4 linked regions of the Schizosaccharomyces pombe genome follow. The protein of the gene in region 2 binds, or shares a complex with, the protein of the main gene of each other region. Each region holds a gene or a part of one and is shown on either strand. Other genes may lie near its edges. The genes, in order: mrpl32, mrpl20, rtc6 and mrpl28.

Region 1 (6,017 bases), on a different chromosome or scaffold from region 2:
TTTATAACAAAAAGATCTTTTTTATAAATCCTAACTGATTAGTGAAATTAATATAAGATAATATGCTTGCTGGTGAATATTGAATCAAAACTTGCTACTGAAGTGATAGTAGCATTCAACCCTACGCTTAGAACTTGATCTTCACCAACAACCCAGTAACCTACTTTATACTTCTTTATGCGCCAGCGAGTATACCACCGAAGTCTTATAAGTTTTGTTTAATTTAGAACTATACATTAAACTATCAAGAAAATTATCCAAGTAAACAGTGCTGACGCGACCTTCGTGTTCTAGTTTATCATTTATAGAGATTTAGTCAATTGAGTAGATTCTTTGATATTCTTTTCTTTTTGAAAAGGATCTATTTCAAAAGTTTCCTTTTCGGTTGTTAATCTGTACAACTGATTCCTCATAAAAGTGGCAGCGGCACAAGTTACTGTGCCCTTTGCGCCTCTTACTAGGAGAAAAATCCTTTTCAACTTAAGTGCTCTATTCTTGTCTTTTTGTTTTTTTTTTGCATACTGAAACTTATTCCTTCGTTCTGCAACACATTTGCCATAGTCCTATTTCTGTTTTTCTTTACCCTTTTCGTTAATAAATTTATTTACTATGGAAAGAGGGACTTTACAACCTCGAAAGAAGGCTCCAAATGGCTATGGAATAACCCCTATTGTTGCTCATAAAACTGGTGAACCTGTACGTTATGAAGTAGAAGATGATTTGAGAAAACTGAAGCCCAGCAGGACAGCTCCAAAGCCTCCAGCTATAAATACTAATCTTGCTGAAGACACCTTTTCCGGTTTCCCTTTATCTCAATCCCGTACAACTGTATCTAGGGTTTCACTTGGTTCTCGTCAGCATAGTAGCAGTTCCATTAGAAAACTTCAGACTAATGTTTCTGATGTGCGTTCATATGATGAAAGGAACCAAAAGAAGTCTGCGTTTGAAAACTTTGTCTCGAGCATGAGTTCGTTCTTAACTGGGGGTGGTAGCAGTCCTACAAGTTCCTATGGGTCAGGCTCTGCCAGCCCTCGCAAATCGACTGTCATCTCTTCTCCATTTGATCCGAAGCATGTCACTCACGTTGGTTTTAATTATGATACTGGGGAATTTACTGGAATGCCTACTGAATGGCAGGCACTACTAAAAGTCAGTGGCATTACAAAGTCGGAACAAGTACAACATCCACAGGCCGTTTTGGACGCTATGGCTTTTTATTCCCAATCCAAGAAATATCTTGAGGAGGGAGCAAAGCCACCCTTTCCCCGTGAAAGTACTGAGAAGCCTTTACTCTCCGTTTCAGCGTTGTCTAGTAGTTCTCATCTTCAACCCACCTCTGCTACAAGCTCATCTTCTCGTTTGTATCCTTCTCGACCTGCTCCCACGCCTCCTGCAAGTTCTTCATCGTCTCCTTTATTATCATCACAAACAGTTAAAACTACTACCTCTAATGCTTCTCGACAACCTTCTCCATTAGTTTCCAGCAAGTCAACCGATAATATAATCCGAAGTCATTCCCCTGTTTTGTTAACGCCTCAAACCTTAAGTACATCTGAAACGAAACATATCCGTCCGAATAACTCGACACCATATCAACGGAGAGCCGAGACTAGCACCAAACCGAAAGCTGTTGCGACTCCTCAAAAAGTGGAAGCACCAAGTGCCCCTCGACTTCAAAAGCGTGCACCTCGACAACAATCCAATGATTCTGCTGTATTGGCAAAGTTACAGTCTATATGCAATCCCAAAAATCCAACACTTTTATATCGAAATTTTGTTAAAATTGGTCAAGGTGCTTCTGGTGATGTGTATTCTGCTCGCCAAGTCGGCACTAATCTTTCTGTTGCCATCAAGAAAATGAACATTAATCAACAGCCAAAAAAGGAATTTATTGTCAATGAAATACTCGTGATGAAGTCACATCATCACAAAAACATTGTCAATTTTATTGACACTTTCTTCTATAAATCAGAGTTGTGGATGGTAATGGAATACATGCGCGGTGGCAGTCTTACTGAAGTGGTTACCAATAACACTCTTTCAGAAGGTCAGATAGCTGCAATATGTAAGGAAACGTTGGAAGGCTTACAGCATCTCCATGAAAATGGCATTGTTCACCGTGACATAAAATCAGACAATATCCTTCTCTCACTTCAAGGAGATATTAAACTTACCGATTTTGGGTTTTGTGCTCAGATCGACAGTAACATGACGAAACGAACGACGATGGTTGGTACTCCATATTGGATGGCTCCAGAAGTCGTTACTAGAAAGGAATATGGTTTCAAAGTTGATGTCTGGAGTCTTGGTATTATGGCTATAGAGATGGTAGAGGGAGAGCCCCCGTATTTAAACGAAAATCCTTTACGTGCTCTATATTTAATTGCTACTATTGGTACTCCAAAGATTAGTCGGCCAGAATTGTTAAGTTCTGTTTTCCATGATTTTCTTTCTAAATCTTTAACTGTTAATCCTAAGCAACGCCCTAGCTCCGGTGAGCTTTTAAGGCATCCGTTTCTTAAGCAAGCCGTTCCAGTTTCATCCCTTATCCCTTTGATAAAATCCATACATCATTCTGGTAAATAGGCTAACTTGTCAAAAAAGTTTTTGAGTAAACATCTGCTGTTAGAAGTTTCGGAATATCCTCCAACGTTTGCTTAAAAACTGTTTCTTCTCACATTGTTTATTTATCGTTAATATGCTTTTGCAGTTCGTTAGAATATATGTACCTGAGTTTATTTTTTTGCCTCCTCCACTAAAATCCATATCCGCAGGTTGGGCAGATTCAAACAGAGTACATTTTAACTACTTTTTTGCTTTACTTTAATTCCTTTTTCTAGTGCATACTTTACTTATCTGTTCCTTTTTTTTTGTTTTTTTCTTACTGCCAAGAATGATCTCAGTGACACTTGGATAATTTTTATAATAAATGAGACAATGCTTCTTTCTAAAAGTCTCAACTTTTTAATATTCGCAATGCATTATAAAAAAACTAAAAGGAAGACTAACTTATCAAAGTATTCAAAATGTAAGTACATGATTCTGAGATTGATCTTGAATCAGTCAAAATAGGTTTGAATCTTTTAAAGCGATGTTTCAATTTCAATTATGTGGAATCTCAAAGTGAAACGCCTGCTGGAATATTTCACAAAATTTTTGATCTACTAAAATTAGTACAAATACGTAGAAAACTTCAAATAATTAAATGGACTATGATTGTAGCGTAGTTCATGAGCTTAAGAAAATTGTCAACATTAAACTGCGAGACTTAATAAAGAGAGAGCGCACTTAGCATTTAAATGTCAAGCCAAAGCAATAGTGAATTTGAGGAGTCTCGTTATACATGGGTTATTACTACTCAACAGCAGACTATAGATTTAGGCAGCAGCCTACTTCTTAAGCATTGTCTCGAAACCAAAGTAACTGGTCTTTAAGTTTCCTTTTGACGACTTCCAATTATTTCAAACTCTTTTCTCGGAGATCGTAAATCTATCTGTGATTGGGTCTACTGGTTTTAGAAAACGGCTATATGCATCGTTTTATAACTATATAATTAAGATCAAGTTCTGCAGTAACTAAGTTCGCCTTACCTTGAGAAAACTTTTAAAATATTGTTCAGCATTACTGTACCCAACAATATTCTACTGTTCGCGCTTGGGTCGAAAATGGCTCTTTTAAGAGGAAATTCTTTGGCAATTAGCCAAAAAATGTTATCAGTTTTTCAAGCTAGCGCCCTTCCTCATATTTCTTTGAGGATATTTATTTCCCCCCCTTCAATAGCTAATATATGGAATTCCATTTTGCTTGCTGTTCCAAAGAAAAAAACTTCTTATACTAAGAAACGAAGTCGCTTACTGTCCGGAAAAGCATTAAAAGACAAAACAGTTAATCGTTGTCCTATTTGCGGGTCTTTTAAATTGGCACATCATTTATGTTCTCACTGTTTTAGAAATATTCGTCGAGAATTTAACGAATGAAGGGCATTAAGCATTTCTTCACTGATTTAGTGATGCTGCAAATCTTTATTTTAAGAAAAAAAATGGACTTAACATTAAATATAAGGTTGTTTCATGTAATAGTATTGCAGTTAGTGAATTGAATCTGCTCGCACTACTTAAATTTTTTCAGTATTACGATTAATGAACTACACCCTTTTTAAAAATACGCGTATAACAAAGAATTTTTTTACTTAATTTTATTTGTTGACTATGTACGGTTGAGTATAAATATCATATATTATGCAAAAGAATTTAGAGTGAAAAAATAACAAAAAAGCTGAATATATCTCTTAGCTTTCATCCTTTTTCAATACACGTTTATGTTGTAAGCGTGTAAATAATATTAAATGCATCGAAAACACAAAAGAGACTATAATCTCATGTAAAGTATACATAAACGATAACAATAAGAAAAAACCAAGCTAGTTTTTCGCCCTCCATAAACCGGAATCAATTCGTTCTCGGCGTTGAGGATCATAACGATTAGCGTTCATTGAATTACGAAAAGAGCGACGAGCCACTTGAATTGTCTTGCTACCTGGAAGACAAACAGTTACACGCAGTGGATGAGTAGGATGAATTCGAAGGGGTTGTTTGGAAGATGAGCGGTATATAGGAACCTTCTCCTCTAATGGTTTCATTTCCTCTAATTTTAATGATTTAGTAGGAAGAAACCGCTCCGGGTTCACTTTAGGCAAATGTAAATTCAAAATAACATCGCCCTTCGATCGCTGAATTCGAACAGAATTTGCATGACTAAGTATCAATCTCGATGATTTTAAAGAGCTCGTTTCCGAGGATACTACATAACTACTACTTCTGGTATCACGACCTTTGGAGTGGCTGTAAGAAGAGGATGAAGAAACAGGTTGACCGAGAGCATTAGAATTGCCAATGCGTGAAACTCCTCCATGTTCGTTGGGGACACGATGGGGTAAATGAGCATTTGCGGCCACCCCACTTTGATAGGATCTCTGTTTATATAAGTTATTGTCAAAAATGACATCCTTTATACTTAAAATAACTTCATCAATACTCCGAGACTTTCCATGTTTCGGGGAAGAAGTACTATCATCAGATTGGGGATTCAACTGTAAAGGATCATTTTTATCCGACGTAAATAAAGGCGAGACTTGAACAGGAGGAATTGGATGACTATGACTTCTCCATGAAAGCGGAGTAGAATCATCTCTGGGGCTAGAAGGATCAATTTCTGTTGTCTCTTGGTTACTATGTAGTCCTTCGGGACTATTGGTAATAGACTGAGGCTCTTTAGTGTATATTGCTTCAACTTTTTTGCTAGACTCGACATTGGAAGACCGCTCATTAGTAATAGTGGGTGAGGAATTCATCTTTGATGATGATATCTTTATTTCTTCAGCTTTTTTACGGGCTCGTTCTCGTGATCGAGCAAGTTCTTCTTCTTCATTCCTCCGCCTTTCAATTGCTTTCTGGCGAGCTTCGAGCATAATTTGCTGTTGCTCTGCGCGAAGGTCGTTGATACGACCAGAAGCTTCTTTGTCAAAACGTTTTTCATTATTTTTGTGGGCAAAACTTTCACTTGAATCGCTGACGATTTCTACTTTATTGATATGTCTTGGCAATGCCGTAGATTTTTCAACAAATTCCTCATGAGTGACATTAGGGTTTTTCTTCTCCTTTGATATTTGAGGTTTTTCTTTCTTCAGAAATGCCCTTTCAGTTGGTTCAGCTTCATCAGAAATCGTGGGGTTATGCACAGATACAGCGCTAGTTGGAGCATTAGGGTAAACAGGTTCAGGCAGTGAAACGGCCTCATCTGTAATATTAGAGTGTTCATTAATACTAGCTTCTTCTGGAACAGGGATTTTGGATGGAGCCGCAGAAGATACAGATTCATTCGAGGGTGCAGAAGGGACATGATTTGAAGCAAGAGTGTCTTGACGTTTCACTGGCTCATACCTCCTCGTTTTCGCATCAATCACGACAGTAGTTCCATCCTCAAATTCAATTGTGCTTCCCCAATCGTCATCGTCTTCG
Region 2 (7,129 bases):
TAAAACTCATTTACTACTCTTCTGGTTTTTTATTTTTCCCTAGAAGTCATGTCTTTCTTCTCCGCTGCAAAGCAAAGTCTGGGTAATTCCCTCATTAAGTTAGGAACATCTATGGCTCAAAATTCCCAAGGCCCTGTAGATGACTCTAGCTTGTCTCAATTGGAGAATTTGCTCCCACCTTTGCAAATTTTGACTGCTAGAGCCGCTATGGCTGCTATGAACATGTCGAATGATACATCCATGTCTGGAATGAACATGACCAACAGTACGACACCCATGTCTGGAATGAACATGACCAATAGTACAACATCCATGTCTGGAATGAACATGTCCAACAGCACAACATCCATGTCTGGCATGAATATGACTAATACCACTACAACCGCAAAGGCTTCTTCTTGTAAATTATCCATGTATTGGAACTGGTATACTATCGATGCTTGCTTTATTACCAAACATTGGCATATCACCAGTAAGCATATGTTTGTCGGTAGTATTTTCGGAATTATCTTCATGATGATGGCATTGGAATTGGTCCGTCGCGGACAAAGAGAGTTCGATCGTTGGTGTGTCCGTAGATTTTCTCCCGCTAGCAATTCCTGCTGTCATTCGGGTGCCCCTGTTCATTCTGGTCCAAGCATGGCCCTTCGAATCTTTCTTCATTTTCTTCGGTCCTGCTTTTATCTAGTCCAGTATATTGTCGCGTATATCGCAATGTTACTCGCAATGTATTATAATGGCTATGTAATTTTATTTCTCTTTTGTGGCACCTTCTTTGGCTATTTCCTGTTTGGTGCGGATACCATCTCTACTAAGGCCTCTTCATCTGTTCAAACGAAAACGATCGTTCAAGTCGCCGACGAAAAACACGAACATGATTCCAGTCAATATTCAGACACAACACCTACAACCGAATAGCTTGATTATCTCTAAATTTGGTTTAGTATTCCCAATTTCATGCACCTCACTCATTTTCAGTGCTGAAGCGTCTGATTAATCATAATCGTCTTCGCTTTAATTTCTTTCGCACAGTCACTGATAGTTTGGAAGAGGATTCTTTGATGAATGTTGAAGCCACATATTACATGTCCATGTTGGAAAGACAAAACAAATTCTGGTAATTTGTCTTAAGTTTTTACAAAGTAATAAAAGTTTCAACAAAAATAAATAGATGCCACAAGGTAACGCTTATCTTTGTTAGTTAAACATTCAAATTAGAGTATATAGCAATTTGAACAGATGTAATTCGTTCCTTTTTTTTTTTAACCATGATTGTTTGTTTTCGACTTTGAACCTGGAGGTTAATAAATATTTATTATTATAAAGACTGACATTAACACGATTCAGTACCTTTATGGTATCTTAAGGTGATCACTTTCTATATATTTTTAAATGAGTTTGTAATGACATGGTGCAACAGAACTACATAAGATATTCATCAATCACATTTTTGACGTTCAGAAACCATTTGTCGATATCTCGGAAGATTAATTCCAACAGCAGATCGTATTAACAAGACATCCACAATACCATCCTGCCGCTTTCTCCCAACAATGTTGAGCCACTCATGCTTTTGAATAGATACATCAGGTAAAACTACTGTAACATCACAAGTCACGCTGCTTGATCCATCAATCAACCGTAGAATGCCATTCTTATATGATTGCACGCATCCTAAAAATCGAAGTTTTTGGCCGTCCTTACAATCGTTAATTTGATTAATGAAGATAAGTTTAGCACTATCCATCAGCTGCTAAATATATTGTAAAAAGGAGAACAAGGAAAGATGAGGGAAGGTGGTATAGTTTGTGTTTGGAAACTGGGTAATCGATTGAAATATGAATTTCGTAAATGAGCGACTTAAGATCGCAGCTTTAATTAAGAAAACGTAGTTTGACTTTTTCAAAAGGAAAAATTTGCATTAATCCTTAAAATGTGCAGAAAGACTACACTCTCGTTTGCAATAGTAAAAGCAAAATCTAATAATCGTATAGTACTATCAGTGAGGCATATTAGATTGATAAATAGACCAACATTTCCATTATTATTATTTATGAATTGGTTTACTTGAGCAACTCCACAAAAAACGCAAGCATGGTTCTTTTGATTAGTTTTTATAAATTAAGTCAGATGGAATATAAAAAGAGAAAAATAAATGCTTTGGCCGGGAATCGAACCCGGGTCGAATCGATGGCAACGATTCATTATACCACTAAACCACCAAAGCTTCTTGAAATATCTTGTAAACTTGTATAATATAAGTAGCTATTAACGATAACGATAATTATTTATTATACCATTATAATATTGATTAAAATCAAGCAGAGAATTGGAAACATGTTCTGATGTAGTTGTTTAAGGCCTTATAAGAAATCAATAGTTCTTGTAATAAATTCCGATTTTAGTTATAGGGCCAATGCGGCTAATATTCACTTGATAAATTGAAGCTGACTGTAAACAAAAGGTTACCCCTTACTTAACCATTTGATATTATAATTTACATTGCAAAAAATTTGGGTCAGTTTGAAAAGGTGTGTACATTTCCTAAAAATCTATGGAAAATTGAAAAAAATAAAATAAATTTAATTTAATATTTAAAATATCATGCTTCCAGTATTCAATATAATCGGTATTTAAATTGAACCATGAACAGATTAGAAATGGTTTAAAAAAAAAACAGCAAAACAAAATTGTATTGAATTTATCCTACAATCAAAATGCCGTTAACAATATTTTTTAGCTTGAATCTTCCGATTTCTCTTAATAAACCGTCAAAGTGCCAAAAACCAGTTTTAATATAACGAATTATATAATATACATTTAAGGTGCCATAAACACACTGCATTATACGTATTGAAACTAAGAGTGTGGATACTGTGCATATAGAGACTGCTAAACTCCAGGAAACCCGCATTTGGAGAGTAATTTCGTGTTTTTACTCGGAAAATTGCAAGCCTTAATACGATTCTTGTAAATTCAAAAGTTAGAACTCTTCCAAGTGATTTTTTGCGTGTTTTTTTGCTGTTTATTTTTTTTTTGCATTGAGCTCTTTTGTCACGTCGTTGCTATAGCTTTTAGGCTTTGAGAATCTTCGTTATAACTAATATTATTTGAAGTGTGGGTTTATCCAAAAGGCCCTTTACAGTTTTTTGTGTTATAACCTTTTCTCAAAAAAATTTAAAGCATCATTTCTAAAGCGACACCAAAATTAAAATAGTTGAAAGAGTAAAAACATGTTGTTTACAATCAAACCTTCATTTTTGAAGCCTGTAGGCTTCATTCAGACTCGGAATTTGAACCGGCTATACCCTAAACAACGTATTCCTAAGCGACCTAAAATTCCTATGGGTTCCAAAATAGCAGAGGTAACTGAAACTACATCTGCTTATTACAATCCACCAGCGTCTTCTCCAGATGTTAGGATTACTCCTCCTGTTTTTCGCTATGATGCACCTCCAATTCATCAGCGTGATACCTCACTTTCCAAAGAGTCAATGTTTCTCCCGCCGGCAGTTAGCCGAAAATCGAAAAGCAAAGGAAAGTTGAGGTTTTCTACTCATCAACTGAGTAGTGAAGATATCAAATCCATCCAAGACTTGAGGACGAAAGATCCGAATGCTTGGACAACTGGAACACTGTCTAAAAAGTTTAACACAACTCGGTTACTAATTTCACGAGTTTGTGAAGCTCCCAAAGAAAGGATTCAAAAAGTTGAAGAAAATTTTGAGGCTGAAAAACTTGCCTGGGGATCAAAGAAGCGTGAAATTCGCCGACAACGTGCATCTCGTCAAGCATTCCGTACATTGGAACGAGTAGCACAGGTTTAAAATAATTTAATAGTTTTTGGGATTCTAAAACTCTGGTTTTCAATAAAGCTCTGATGCACATGCGGAAGCGTTTTTGACTGCATTATTTAATGTTTCAATCACGTTACAAAATACTCGAGTGATTTGAAAGTTCCTTGGAAAATAATATTAGTTTTGAAGCTTTTCAAAAAAAACAGACATCTTCATTCTTCTTTATTTCTTAATTTACAAAGGCTCTCTGGCATTTTACGAATTATCCTTTACATTTCTATCAACATTTACGCACATTGGTCTGCATATCGCGAATTTTTGTCGCAACCTTTAAAATGTTATTATACAGGCACGAACTTGTTTTACATTTTTACCTCTCCCTTCTCATGTACATATTTCCTTTTTGGAACAAATGAGGAAATTTTTCATTTCAGCTTAGTAGGCTCGGAAATCCTCAATCATAGAGTATGTTGCTTTTGTAACACTCAAGCCAGTTTTTTTTTTTTTTTGGTTTTATCTTTTAACTATTACTGAGAATATACAATGGTGTACATAATTAATTGGGTCAGCGAGCAGTAAAAAAACATCTTTATTTCCTCTTGTACAGAGAGCCCTTTCGTTCAAACCTCAAGTGGTGAAAATAAAGATATTTTTTCGGCTTTTAAGCAGTTGCTATTTAAGATTTCCAATCGACATCAACCGTTTATAAACACTCACGAGATACTTACTTTTGCAAGTTTCCTCACCAGCCATCATCCATCCATCTCCTTAGGACAATTTGCATTCTACGGATTTCATTAATACATCCATCTCTAGCTACTATTTACTTATATTAAAGCTTTGTTTCGCCGTTTTCTACTTTTTTGAAGCTTGTGTGACTATACGTGCTCTTCTTTGTTGGCCCAATTTTCCAACGATCGTCTAAAGAAACATGCGACCTAGTTGAGGAATTTTGCTTTAAGACATTGTTTTTACAGACTCTAACAAGCTTAATTTGTATGGTGGACACAGCTTTGTTGTAATACTGCATACTGCGATTCTCAAATCCTACACTCCTCTCTCCTCTTCTCTCCTTGTTACTTAGTACCTCGAGAAGTTTTGGGGTGACATCAGTCAGACACAAGAATTATATGATGGGTGGGTGGGTTAATACGTATATGAATGATCTCATTTACGTTGCCGTATTGTGCTACTAAAAGTGTTATATATAGAGCAGTGGGAAGTAGAAGTGAGCACTCTTATTAACGATAAAGTTGTGAGTTGAACAAAAGCGACTTACTACTTTGAAATATTGTTTTACTTTACAATTGAACATTTACTAGTGTTCAGGAAAAATCTAATTTTTTTTCGTGCGCTCGATTGAATATTATATCAATCCTTTGTGTTGTACGGAGAAAACCGCTTTTATATAACCTTTCGATTTATTAATTTTTTTTTACTCGGTTAATTCACGAAATCCTAATCGAGCATCATGAATAGGCGTGTTACTCTTGGAGCCTTGGCCGCTGCTGTTGGTGTTGGTTATTATATGACTCGCCATAATCGTCAGGCATCTTCCAGATTGGAACAGAAGAATGCAGAAATCGTCAGAGCCGTGGAAAATGAGGGTCAACGATTTGACAAAGCTGTTGGCGAAACCACTGAAAAGGCAAAATCTTATCTCCAAAGTGGGAAGGAGAGGGTTGTCGATGAACTCGACAAACCTCGTGAAAACGTAAAAAATGTGTTGTCAGAGGCGCAAGCCAAGGGTACTGAACAAGCAGAAGCCCTTAAAAAGGGTACCTCAAAATGGTTTTAAATTGGAAATCCCCAATTCTCGCCATTTAGGGTTATGTGGCAATACTTTGAAAAAATACACACAGGGTTTGTTGTGTATTTGAAAACGTAAAGTGCCTAGCATTGGCTCGTTCTATACCTGCTATCCATTAAGTGTTCTTGTTAATTGTTCCAAACGTATTGCCAAACATTCCGGATCACATCTCGGCAAAGTCGGAGAGATTAAACGTTGTTAACGTTATTCTTTTTTATGTTATTATTAGTTTCTTCTCTCATAAACCAACTGAACCCAAATGATTAGCGATGACAAACAAACGACGATTCCATGGGTTGTCAAAAACACCCTCATAGAAGTTTGCTTTTTTTTGTACAGATAAAAGCGAATTTTTAATTGAAATAATGTTTTTCATGAACGCATAAATGAATGATTGAAATTTTTACATGCATGATTTTCCATTATAGACTGTAAAATGATATTTAAAGTAAGCGATGTGGACTAAGAGTAGTGATAATGCATATGAATACATGCATAGTTTGGATATTATAGGTTTTTCCTAGTTTCCATTATTAAAAAAATAAAAGATTGAAAGGAGTGTTTTGCTTTAATCTGCTCTAGTAGACAGAGTCAAAATTGATATATTTAATAATATTCAAGATGAAGAGATAGAACTCATCAAGTTCGCTTAGATATAACCTTAGCTTACGCGAAAGATGAGAATACTGTAATGCATAGTTTTTTGTTAATTTGAGACAACGAGAGGTATGGAAAATGCCCCTCAGGTGAATTCTCTAAATAAGCTAAAAAGTCAAACGCAAAAAAATGCATTATGCCGGTTTATAGAAGATAAACTTTTTTTTGCTGACAAATATTACGATGGAATTGTCGTTTTGACATTTCTTAGCCGTCGTACCTAATGCTTCTGACTGCTAATCAAGCTCTAAAAAAGCGCAGTTCGTTATACTTCTCTATCCCGTTTTCACCTTCATGACAAGTCCTGCGTATGTATGCATTCTACCATCTTCCATTATTCGCACTTGGGCGTACTCAGCTAAGCTGGTTTTGGCGTATTCATAAACGTGTCTATCCTTCAACAGGAAAATAGGTACCTGAAGAAAATAAGATGGGTCTCAAATTACTTCATCCTCCTAAACGTATGTAACGGTTTAGCTAGACATATAAACAAACTTGAGGATTCTTAGTTGGATGCTCGAGCATCGTATAGGTAGATTAAAACCGCAAAATAACTAACTTTATACAGCTTATGCGATGACCAGTGACCCTGAGTCGTATGCTTCGGTATGTGTCATGAAAAAATGGCCTATTATAGCTACGAATGTGATTGACGAGGTTTCTCGAAACATATCAAAGGCATTGGAGGCGGGAATGTCCGATAAAGCTGCTTATGTTACTCAAGGAAAGGAAATAATCAGCCTTCTTAATCAACTCAAATATGATCTTCAACACAATCGCCCTCTGAAGCCGCTTGTCGGTCAAGGGCCTGATATTGATGACTATAATGAGGAGTTGGAACAAGTTGGTCCATTGACTTGGGGCG
Region 3 (4,255 bases), on a different chromosome or scaffold from region 2:
CTACCCCGATTCCACACATGGTACATGGTATTCCTTGGCTTCAAGATTTATATATATTTCCATCTCGTACAGTAGATGTGAATTTCGAAGGTCCGCCCCTTTCCCAGGAAAGATTGTATAGTATTTTTAGGACATATGGAAAACTAAGATCCGTGACCATTAATTCACCTACTTCTGCTACTTTGAGTTTTTCATCGCTAAGGTCCGCTACGTCAGCTTTAAACTGTATGCATGGTTTTGTTTATGGGAAAACAGAATTCCACATGCGATACAGACATATGAACCGCTTTGTCGCCTTCAAAGACTGGTTATTCTCTCATCCTCGTTTTACTATTCCTTTGGTTGCGGCGGCTATTACAGTTTTAACGGCTTCTTTATTCGATCCGATAAGAAAGTTCTTTGTCGAGACAAACATTGTACATGGTCAGAAGTTGAGAAATATCAATGTTGTTGGGTGGGTCAAAAAGAAAACTCGCGATATAGTTTTGAGTCCCTTTCACGAAAATGGTACAAATATAAAGGCACCGATTTGGACAACACGTGAAAAGGATTGTGAACAGTTGAAAGAATGGTTGGATGAAGCATTACATTCTTTTATTGTTGTTCAAGGTCCTCGTGGTAGTGGTAAGCGTGATCTGGTAGATCGAGTTGTTAAAGAACGAAAAAATGTTTTGTTTTTCGACTGTGATCGCTTATTCTCCACTACTAATACGGAAATGTTCGTAAGTACTCTTGCTAGCCAAACGGGGTATTTCCCCCTCTTTAGCTTCCTAAACAACATATCGTCACTTATCGATATGGCTGCACAAGGTCTCATAGGACAAAAAACGGGAATTGTTTCTTCTAGTGAAGGACAAGTGCGGCAAATTCTTAACACAACACAAACGGTATTGCGTTCTCTAGCATTACGAGAGCATAAAGAAGCCGATACTAGTGTGTTGGATGAATCTGAGTTTTTAGAAGTTCATGCAGATCGCTTACCTGTTGTTATTCTCGACAATTTCCAGCTTCGTAAATTATCAAACCCGATGCAGAGAGTGGTTGCTGAATGGGCTGGTAATTTGGTAAAGGAAGGAATTGCTCATGTACTAATGCTAACACCCGATGTTGGAGGCACCAAGTCATTAGAGCAATATGTCAACGGTTGGGAAAATAGAACATTGTTATTAGGAGATGCTGACCCTGTACTTGCTCAGCGATATGTCATAGAGTCTTTACCCGAAGAGATGCAAACAGAAGAATTGAGGAAAGAATTGCGGGTCCAATTACCGAAGATTGGTGGCCGACTTCGTGATCTTGATTATGTAGCTCGTAGGTTGCGGGTTAATTCTTCCAGTGTTTCTGAAGCAATTGGCGGTATTGTAAGTCAAAATGCCTCTGATATTTTGCAAACATTTTTACGGCCTGCTTCTTTAACCAGTGAGGAGAAGCCAACGTTCACTCCAGAAGAGTCATGGACCTTAATTACTTATTTATCTCAACATGAATATATACCCTATCATATGTTGATGCTTGACCCACTGTTCAAAGGACACGACGATGCCGTTCGTGCCTTGGAAGAATCAGAATTGATTACTATTACCACAGTGAATGCAAGACCGGATAAAGTCTACGCTGGAAAACCTGTATATGTTACGGCTTTCCGGCAACTTGTAAATGATCCAGTATTAAGTGCTAATATGCAGTTGGTGAGATGTAACGCGTTAATTGGCATGGCTAACAATGCTATCAAGAATGATGAACAGGAGCTACAAATGCTAAAGGACCTTGGGAACCTTGAATCAGGTGTGAAGGATCGTGCTCATTACTTAACGACGCGTATCCAGAAAAATCAAGGTGTTATTACTGATAATGAGAAAAGTATAGAAAGGCTTACTGAGGCTTTGAAAAAAATCGACTAAGATGCGAAAGCATATCATTTAAGATTACGTATGTTTTTATGAATTCTTTAGCATGAAGCTATAATGTCAACAATAATATCACATTTAATGACTACGCATTAACGAGAGAGAAGGGAGTAAGGATTTGGTAGGTAGTCCAAAAATCGTCGTAATATGAAGTGAGCGTAATGAAGAATTAGCCTAGGTAGAAAAAAAAAGAAGAAGCGAAACCGGTTATAGTCATTAACCTTGACGGGTTTTATGTCTCGGATGTTTTTTGCATAGTACATACAACCTACCTTTGCGACGCACAAAATAGCAGGATGAACAACGCTTTTTTACTGATGCTTTCACTTTGAAACCTCTTGAAAAGTTCCAAGGTAGAAGGCTAGGAGAAAGTCTGAAAGCAGGGGTTAAGAACATAGATGCATTTTTTAACAACCCTTTTTGTGCATTAAAAGCAGAAGGGAAGACTCGTGACAAAACACCCACAGCAAAAAATTTACGACCTAATGAAGCCATTATAAGTTAAAAAAAAAGTGAAACTGGGACTTCAAGTCAAGATGTTTAAATTTTTTTGGATCCGAAGTAATTCTGAGCTAAATAAATGATGTACGATGGAAAAGTGTTCACAATTTGGACTGAGCCAAAAAAGAACGATAATAGAAAATGCCTATCAACAAGAGAAGATTTTCATAAAAAAAAAAGGTGAATACTAAGTTATATAAACTCGCTTACGCCCGATTTGTTGGATATTCTTTGTTGGGAAAATAAATAGTAGTTAGTGCTTCTAGTAAGCTAACCTACGACATGTCAGTTAGTGACAACCAACATGTCTTGTTATTCTATAAATTCAATAGCCAGCTTACTGTGGAGCAATTTGACCTGAAATTTATCACATTATTTTAAAATAAGGAATACTTTTATTAAAGTGGAGTCAACTCAACAGTGTAGCTCCATTTTTTGTTTACAAATGAAAATTTTAATGTTGAGTCTCTGACCTTCTTAGTCCCTAAAATAGCTAATTGACCGCATCATCTAATAACTTTGATTCTACGTTATTTGGTTTGGCATGCTAATCGATTAATTTGAAATGATCAATTTTTGAGAATTTGTTTATGTTTTTAGTTGCTGGTATAACGAGTTCGTTATACTTTGCTAATTTGGGTATGGAACTGGAGTGCAGATGCGTCATTTGCCTTGGTAAAAGATTGTTAAAGGAAAATTTAGCAAATCCCACGAATTGGTGGATGTCTCAAAAACACCAAAATATTCAATCCAAAGGCTGAAAAATAGATTGCTATGCAGCAAAATGTTAAAGAGAAACATGCTGGCAAAAGTGACACATCAGTGAGTTCTTTGGAGTGTGAAATCGATTATCATATCGAAGGGTCAGATGGCATACCTGTTGTGGAACCAGTAAGTTTACGCGAAAAATATTAAATATTTTGTGGATGTTAACAAAATTTGTTTAGAAAATTTCAGAATTTGTAGATATGGAAAGTTTTATTCGGCGCGTTGAAAGGCTTGGCAAGAAATACGGCGCAATTAAAGTTGTTCGTCCTAGTTCTGTTTTAAATCCTTGGAACGAAGATACAATGAAACCTTCCGATGTAAAAATGGATTTATGGTTAGAGCGAATGGTGAGACGGAAAGGAGAGTACTTCGAGATTCAAAGCGATATAGACCATGGCTCGGCTGGTCCTAAAAAGCCTACCGATATGAATGTCGACGACAGGTTTCCTTCAAACGCTGGAAGTTCTAATGACTTTGAAAACAATGTGGCTAAAGCTATTGCATATTATTGGCGTTCTTTGACCCATGACAGTCTGTGGTATGGATATACTAATCGCCCATCGATCCCCTTCTATTTTATACCTTCGATATCTGCTGCTCAAAAAGATAGGGTACATTTAAGATCGAATACATTGATTAACACTTGGCCAAATGTTGGTCACTTATTTGCTGGGAAATGGAAAACTACCCTTCCTTGGCGGGTAGAATCTCCTGAGCTGCATGCAGTTCAGGTACATTTAGGTGGCTCTTCATTGCAATGGTATGTGATACCTTCAGCACATAGTGAGTCTTTTAAAAAATTAGCTGGAAAGCTTGCGCAAGATGAGCATTGGCGTTGTTCAGATTTTTTGCTTCACCAGAATATTTTGTTTCCCCCTTCAACTCTAGTACAAAATGGTATTGTTACTTATTCAACAGTCCTTAAACAGGATGAACTGCTTATAACCTTTCCAGGCACACATCATAGTGCATTTTGTCTAGGAGACGCTGTTTTACGACGTTTTGTCTTTCGTTCACCAAGATCTGCTTCCAACTATGAATTTTCTAATTTACGAAGACTTATGGTTTCAGAATCCCTT
Region 4 (5,972 bases), on a different chromosome or scaffold from region 2:
AGCTACTTGCTTCGTTGGACCAAGGGTCTTAACATTCCTGAGGCCATCAACAAGGACTTTGCCCAATTTTTGACTGAAGGTTTCAAGGCTCGTAACCTTCCTATTAGAATCGAGGCTGTCATCAACGATACCGTCGGTACTCTCGTTACCCGTGCTTATACTTCAAAGGAGAGCGACACCTTTATGGGTATCATTTTCGGAACCGGTACCAACGGTGCTTACGTCGAGCAAATGAACCAAATTCCCAAGCTTGCTGGCAAGTGTACTGGTGATCATATGCTTATCAACATGGAATGGGGAGCAACTGATTTCTCTTGCCTTCACTCCACTCGTTATGATTTACTTCTTGATCATGATACTCCCAATGCTGGTCGTCAAATCTTTGAGAAGCGCGTTGGTGGTATGTATCTCGGTGAGCTTTTCCGCCGTGCCTTATTCCACTTGATCAAGGTTTACAACTTCAACGAAGGTATTTTCCCTCCTTCCATTACTGATGCTTGGTCTTTGGAAACTTCTGTTCTTTCCAGAATGATGGTTGAACGTTCTGCTGAGAATGTTCGTAACGTTCTTAGTACATTCAAGTTCCGTTTCCGCAGCGACGAAGAGGCTTTGTACCTTTGGGATGCTGCTCATGCAATTGGCCGTCGTGCTGCTCGTATGTCTGCCGTTCCCATTGCTTCTTTGTATCTTTCTACCGGCCGCGCTGGTAAGAAGAGTGATGTTGGTGTTGATGGTTCTTTAGTCGAACACTATCCTCACTTTGTTGACATGCTCCGTGAAGCCTTGCGTGAGCTTATCGGTGATAACGAAAAATTGATTTCCATTGGTATTGCCAAGGATGGCAGTGGTATTGGTGCCGCTCTTTGCGCCCTCCAAGCTGTTAAGGAAAAGAAAGGCTTGGCCTAAATCATGTTAGATGTCTGTTAGCTTTTTTTGAATTGTACGTAGAAATGAGCATGTAAATATGAAATTGCTTTTTAACAGCTTTTAGTTAAGATGTTTTTTTTGAAAGTGAATTTATTTCCTGGAATTAGTTAATAGTATGAAGATTGAATATCAGATGAATTAAAAAGCATGTTGTGATTGATGTTATATGTCTCTTTAAAACAAAATTGTGGTTGTGTATTGTTATTAAATTTGTTACGATTTTGTTAACATTCCAAAAAAGAGTACGGAATTTACAAACATTACAGGACATCTCAAAGATGTGTGTGTAAATTGATTCTAACAAAAAGAAATTTGATTTTTTTTAATCTGAGTTTGTAAAAAATAAGATTCATCATACCCTATTATCTCAAATTTATGAATTATTCGGGTTCAAGATAAAATCTTCTTTTTCTTTCAAGAAATCCAATTAACCAAGATTTGTTAAAAAATATTTTTCTCATCGTTTAGTAAATTTTTCTGCAACGTTGAACGGTGAAGTTGTGCTAGCAATACTGCATACTATATAAATAAGAACCGGAAAGCGTTTTCCAACACCCAAAAGGTGTTTTTTATACTTTATTCAAGAGTTAAAAATTAAATAGCACGGTAGTAAAACCAAATTGAACAAATTAAAAATTGAAAGCGTCTCAAGTTTAAAATTTATTTAAAGAGCTTATATCAAAAAAGTAGAAAACTTTCCAAAAGGATTTCTCAAAAGAAAATCCTCCTCATTTTAATAAATCATTGTTTAGATAGATTTGGTTAAATTTTAACCAAAAGGATTATCTATTTGCTAATTTTTTAGATAACTGGAAATTGCCTAATTACACAATCTTTTTTACCTTTTTTTGATGATTGTATGTTTAAAGGGGATGTAGTTCAACTAAAAAATTGCTTATTAAACATGCAAGAGTAAATGATTATTGAATATGTATAGTTGCAACAAGAAGCAAGGTTGCGAGAAATGACAAATGGGTTGACTCAACTTTTTTCTCATTTAAATTTTTGTTTCAGTCATTTTAATAAGGTCCTTGTGAATCGATATCAAAAGAGGAGGTGGAATAATTATAAAGATAACGTTTCTGAATATCATGGTTTTCGAAAAAGAAAGTCTTTGAGGTCATGAAGTTTAGGCTGCTTTCGGTTTTTTTACTCCATACTTGCTTCGGGATGTGACACGTCCCGCTACACCAGCAATGTCATAGACACCCCGAACAACATGATATTGGACTCCTGGACAATCCTGTGCTCTGCCGCCTCTTAACAATACCACAGCATGCTCCTGTGCATTATGACCGATACCTGGAATGTAAGCAGTAACAGAACGGCCGGTTGAAAGGCGTACACGGGCAACCTTTCTTACTGCCGAATTAGGTTTTTTGGGTTTTACTGTAAAGACCCTCGTGCACACACCCCGTCGAAACGGACTTCCCTCTAAAGCAACAGATTGCTTATTTGTTTTTTCAGGACGTTTCTCTTTATTTCTTATCGTTTGATTTAATGTCTTTAACATAACTGAAGAGCTAGAAAACGCTTGAGCCTGAAATGGTGAAATAACTGTTGGCTTCATCAACCTTGAAATTACCGGATATCGAGCATATTGAGCAAAACGGATCATTATTTGGGGAAATTTAATATTTGAGCTGTATAAAATCTCAAAAATCACTATAATAGATGCTTGAGCAAGGAATTCCGAAGTTTGTACCCGAACGTCGCTGGTTTGGTGTTAGTGTATGTATATTGCCTTGGAATAGAATATCTCGCAGCATTCATATTATTCGATGGGATACAAAAATTTATTCTTTTATATTTTGACAAACATTTTTGGGTATAACTAGCGTATTAAATATTTTTTCCTCTAGGAATTGAACTTTAATGGACTAGTCTAAAACAGATGCAGAATGTAGGTATGCTAATCGACAAATTTACAGTACAGTGTTAAGCTGAAAAAATCAACTTAATTCATGACTTCTACTGAAAAACGTACTGGAAGTAGATTGTATTGAGGTTTAAGCTTCGTTTTGCCATGCCATTTTCAGTTGATGATAGTATTTATTACAATAACTTATCCATTCATTAAAACTTTAAACACTGATATGGATTTATCAATGTGTTTGACTACTTACATGAAACTTAGCAGAAAAATTGAGCATCAGGCCTACTCCATATAAAGCTTTGACTTAAAACTTAATATTTTCTACTTGTTAAATGTCTTCGTTTGGTTACATATCTCCATAAATGCATATGCTTTGTTTGGCTTAGCTACTGAAAATTCAGAAACAATTAAATGAACTCCGAATTATAATCTATATTTTTTTTATCAGTGTGTGAAATTGAAGGGGATTTGATGAAACACTTCTTTTTTTGAAATATCGTACTGGTGGCTTTTCCTAGTGTATCACGACTTACTCTCTTAATTAGCTTCATACCACTGAACACGTTTACTACTACCGCATTTTTCTCTACTCAGGTTTTTTAGCTTTTAAAGGAAGGTTTTATGTTAATACTTTTGAAAATTAAATTTTTTTCTATCAACGTGAAAAAATTCAAGGAGTACTTTAGTTTGTGTTGAAAAGTTTTTTGGCAGATGCGTTCTACGTTACAATTAATGGCTAAGGCCTCAAAGGGAAAGCACCAATCTGGTCCTTCTAATCATAGTGAGTCAATCGATTTGGTTAGAAAAGCTCTTTACGGAAATAAAAAAGTCAGGTCTTTGAAAATGAATCCAGACATGTGGGAAAAACACGAAGTTATTAATCGCGCTTGGCGTATACACGAATATCGACAAGAAAAACAAAGAGAGAATCTTCTAAAAAACCAATTCTCTGCAATGAAAATTGCTTGCGAGGAACTGAAGCATACGAGTGAAACATTATATAAAGCCGCAATGAGCGATTCAATTAACAGGAGGTTCCCCGTAGAAACGAGGACTCCTACGGACACACCACCACGGCTTTCTAAATAGGCGAGCGCCTTTTATGAGTATAATTAATATCTTCGGTAGTGCTCGAAAGTGTTATAGACAAGTTCAAGTATATAAAAAAATGTATCACTAATTACGAGCAAGTATAATCTAATTAGGATTTTTAAATAAACCAATAATTGAATTAAAGAATTATGTCTCCTAGTTTCTAGTCTACATGTATCATATTATTCATTCCCAATTTCACCGTAAACGAATGATACAAAATGAAAGGCCATGCTTTCTTTTTTAACCAAAAATTTAGAATTGTTACCAAACCCAAACCCTACCTCGAAAACAATAAAATATGACCCAAACACTGTTTTCTTTTTACAACGTGTCGCAGATGAGACAAAATGTCTTTAAAGCCAGAATTTACGTCTATCTGATTCTTCACCGGCATTGCTCTCGAAGAAAACCTCCCCTTCTTTCCTATCCCATACTCCTTTTTGAACCATACGAAGACGCATGGTAAATCGAGGACCTAATTCTTGTAGCCCAGTTCCAATACCATCTGGCATATTCGATTTTTCACGAAATGCATAACGGTGTCTTCGAAAAAAAAGAAAATCTCTTTGACAATGGATGGTAACAACTTGTCGCCCTTGAATTTGAGGCGTTTGAATAAATAATGATTGAAAGGCTCGAGCAACAGTCATACCAAGTCTCGTTGAGAAATTGTTGATTATCAGTTCTGGAATATGACCAGTGGAGCGGCCATGATTTGAAATTTCCTTTGCTGTTTGGAGATTCGATAAGGTAAAATAGAACGAAGGGCCATTCGGTAAGTGTACAAGGGTTAATGCATTTGTTTTTTTACGATCCTCATTTAATACCAGTAAATCGGTGTAACCACGCTTAGCAGCGGCTTCTGCGATTTCATGAACTTCAATATCTCCGGTTCTTTTTCGAAATTCAGCATTAGGAAAACAATCTAAAAGCTCAGATGCAAAATCATAGCATTTTCTAGAGGCTCGTTTACTCGTGGTTACCAAAAGTTTCGGAACTTTCCTTTCTTCACTAAAGTATGCAGAAAACTCATCATCTTTTAACTCCGCCTGAAGTTCCTCATCGGGTTTATCCTCTATGATAGTTTCATCATAAACTCGTTTCGATTCAATAGTAGCGGGAATATTTTCTGAAAGTCGCAATCTCTTCTTTTCCGGGTCTTTTTCTTCTTCTTTAGCACGTTCTTTTCTTCTTTCAAGCTTGTCCTTATTTTTTTGATGAAGAGCCTTCATATACTGCTGTTGGCGGACAATTTTGTTTTTAATCTTCCCCATTTTAATAAGTTGCGTATAATCTCTCAAAATTTAAAATTTAAGAATGAAATAATTTAAATCCTTACAAAAAATTGCAACTAAAAAAAATTGAGATAAGAATGAGCAACTTAAGTACAAATAAAAGAGAGTTAAAAAAAAGTATACGATGGGTTTGAAGTCTCAAAAACTTATTGCACAATCCAATTCCATGTCGCAAAATACCGAATCTGAAGAACATGCTACGAATTTCGTCAAATTTGCTTAAAAGTATTAACGCAGTATTATATCACACTGCTGTTAAGCAAAATGTATACTTTAGTTACAATTACTGTTTGTAAATAGGTGATATTACAATCCGAAATCGTACACTATAGATATCCTCATCATTAAATTGTTGAACAACTGAAAGCATTGTGGTAAGGGTTCAACATTCTACAAATCACTCACGCTACTTTCATTTTCACATTTGAATGCGTGCTTTGAATGGAACTAGCAGAAATGAAAGGGACGATAGTCTTTTAATTTCATTTCTTTACTTTCTTTTTACTTTCTTCTGAACTGAATTGCTATATTGATAAATTAAATAATGTTCTGGATAACCAGAACGAATCAGAACGTGTCTTTTAATAGCAAAATTTTTCAAAACCAAAAGCCAATGAACAATGTAAGCAAAAAGGAGGAGGAAAACAGATTAGGGAATTCATATAGAGCGTATTTTCAGAAAGGTTATTTGTATACCTTTTTAAGTCCTAGCCTCGCTCATGTCGAGTACTTGAACCATACCTCGGTTTTTGGTCTCATTTCGGACAAGTTCATCTATC

Evidence for each region.
Region 1: mrpl20 (region 2) and mrpl32 share a complex: the UniProt entries of both Schizosaccharomyces pombe proteins name them as parts of the mitochondrial large ribosomal subunit.
Region 3: mrpl20 (region 2) and rtc6 share a complex: the UniProt entries of both Schizosaccharomyces pombe proteins name them as parts of the mitochondrial large ribosomal subunit.
Region 4: mrpl20 (region 2) and mrpl28 share a complex: the UniProt entries of both Schizosaccharomyces pombe proteins name them as parts of the mitochondrial large ribosomal subunit.

Annotation. Positions count from the first base shown.
Region 1 is NC_003423.3:3,904,473-3,910,489, forward strand, and holds mrpl32 (mitochondrial 54S ribosomal protein bL32m), read left to right. Parts: upstream 1-3,379; 5' UTR 3,380-3,665; coding exon 3,666-3,977; 3' UTR 3,978-4,259; downstream 4,260-6,017. Other genes in the region: PAK-like kinase Shk1, read left to right, coding at 610-2,586; SPOM_SPBC1604.12 (uncharacterized protein), read right to left, coding at 4,421-6,017. UniProt on the Schizosaccharomyces pombe protein: Component of the mitochondrial ribosome (mitoribosome), a dedicated translation machinery responsible for the synthesis of mitochondrial genome-encoded proteins, including at least some of the essential transmembrane subunits of the mitochondrial respiratory chain.
Region 2 is NC_003421.2:818,411-825,539, forward strand, and holds mrpl20 (mitochondrial 54S ribosomal protein mL58), read left to right. Parts: upstream 1-2,884; 5' UTR 2,885-3,233; coding exon 3,234-3,827; 3' UTR 3,828-5,067; downstream 5,068-7,129. Other genes in the region: Cu(2+) transporter complex subunit Ctr4, read left to right, coding at 49-918; telomere cap complex subunit Ten1, read right to left, coding at 1,439-1,747; SPOM_SPCC1393.12 (uncharacterized protein), read left to right, coding at 5,269-5,595; duf89 (cobalt/nickel-dependent phosphatase), read left to right, coding at 6,695-6,725, 6,833-7,129. UniProt on the Schizosaccharomyces pombe protein: Component of the mitochondrial ribosome (mitoribosome), a dedicated translation machinery responsible for the synthesis of mitochondrial genome-encoded proteins, including at least some of the essential transmembrane subunits of the mitochondrial respiratory chain.
Region 3 is NC_003423.3:1,518,089-1,522,343, forward strand, and holds rtc6 (mitochondrial 54S ribosomal protein bL36m), read right to left. Parts: upstream 2,403-4,255; coding exon 2,124-2,402; 3' UTR 1,942-2,123; downstream 1-1,941. Other genes in the region: RNA-binding protein Yme2, read left to right, coding at 1-1,901; Lid2 complex histone demethylase H3-K36 subunit Jmj3, read left to right, coding at 3,183-3,299, 3,356-4,255. UniProt on the Schizosaccharomyces pombe protein: Component of the mitochondrial ribosome (mitoribosome), a dedicated translation machinery responsible for the synthesis of mitochondrial genome-encoded proteins, including at least some of the essential transmembrane subunits of the mitochondrial respiratory chain.
Region 4 is NC_003424.3:2,666,278-2,672,249, forward strand, and holds mrpl28 (mitochondrial 54S ribosomal protein mL40), read left to right. Parts: upstream 1-3,373; 5' UTR 3,374-3,535; coding exon 3,536-3,892; 3' UTR 3,893-4,091; downstream 4,092-5,972. Other genes in the region: hxk2 (hexokinase 2), read left to right, coding at 1-906; mrps12 (mitochondrial 37S ribosomal protein uS12m), read right to left, coding at 2,057-2,545; Brix domain-containing protein Rpf1, read right to left, coding at 4,252-5,172; SBDS family ribosome maturation protein Sdo1, read right to left, coding at 5,894-5,972. UniProt on the Schizosaccharomyces pombe protein: Involved in mitochondrial genome encoded proteins translation.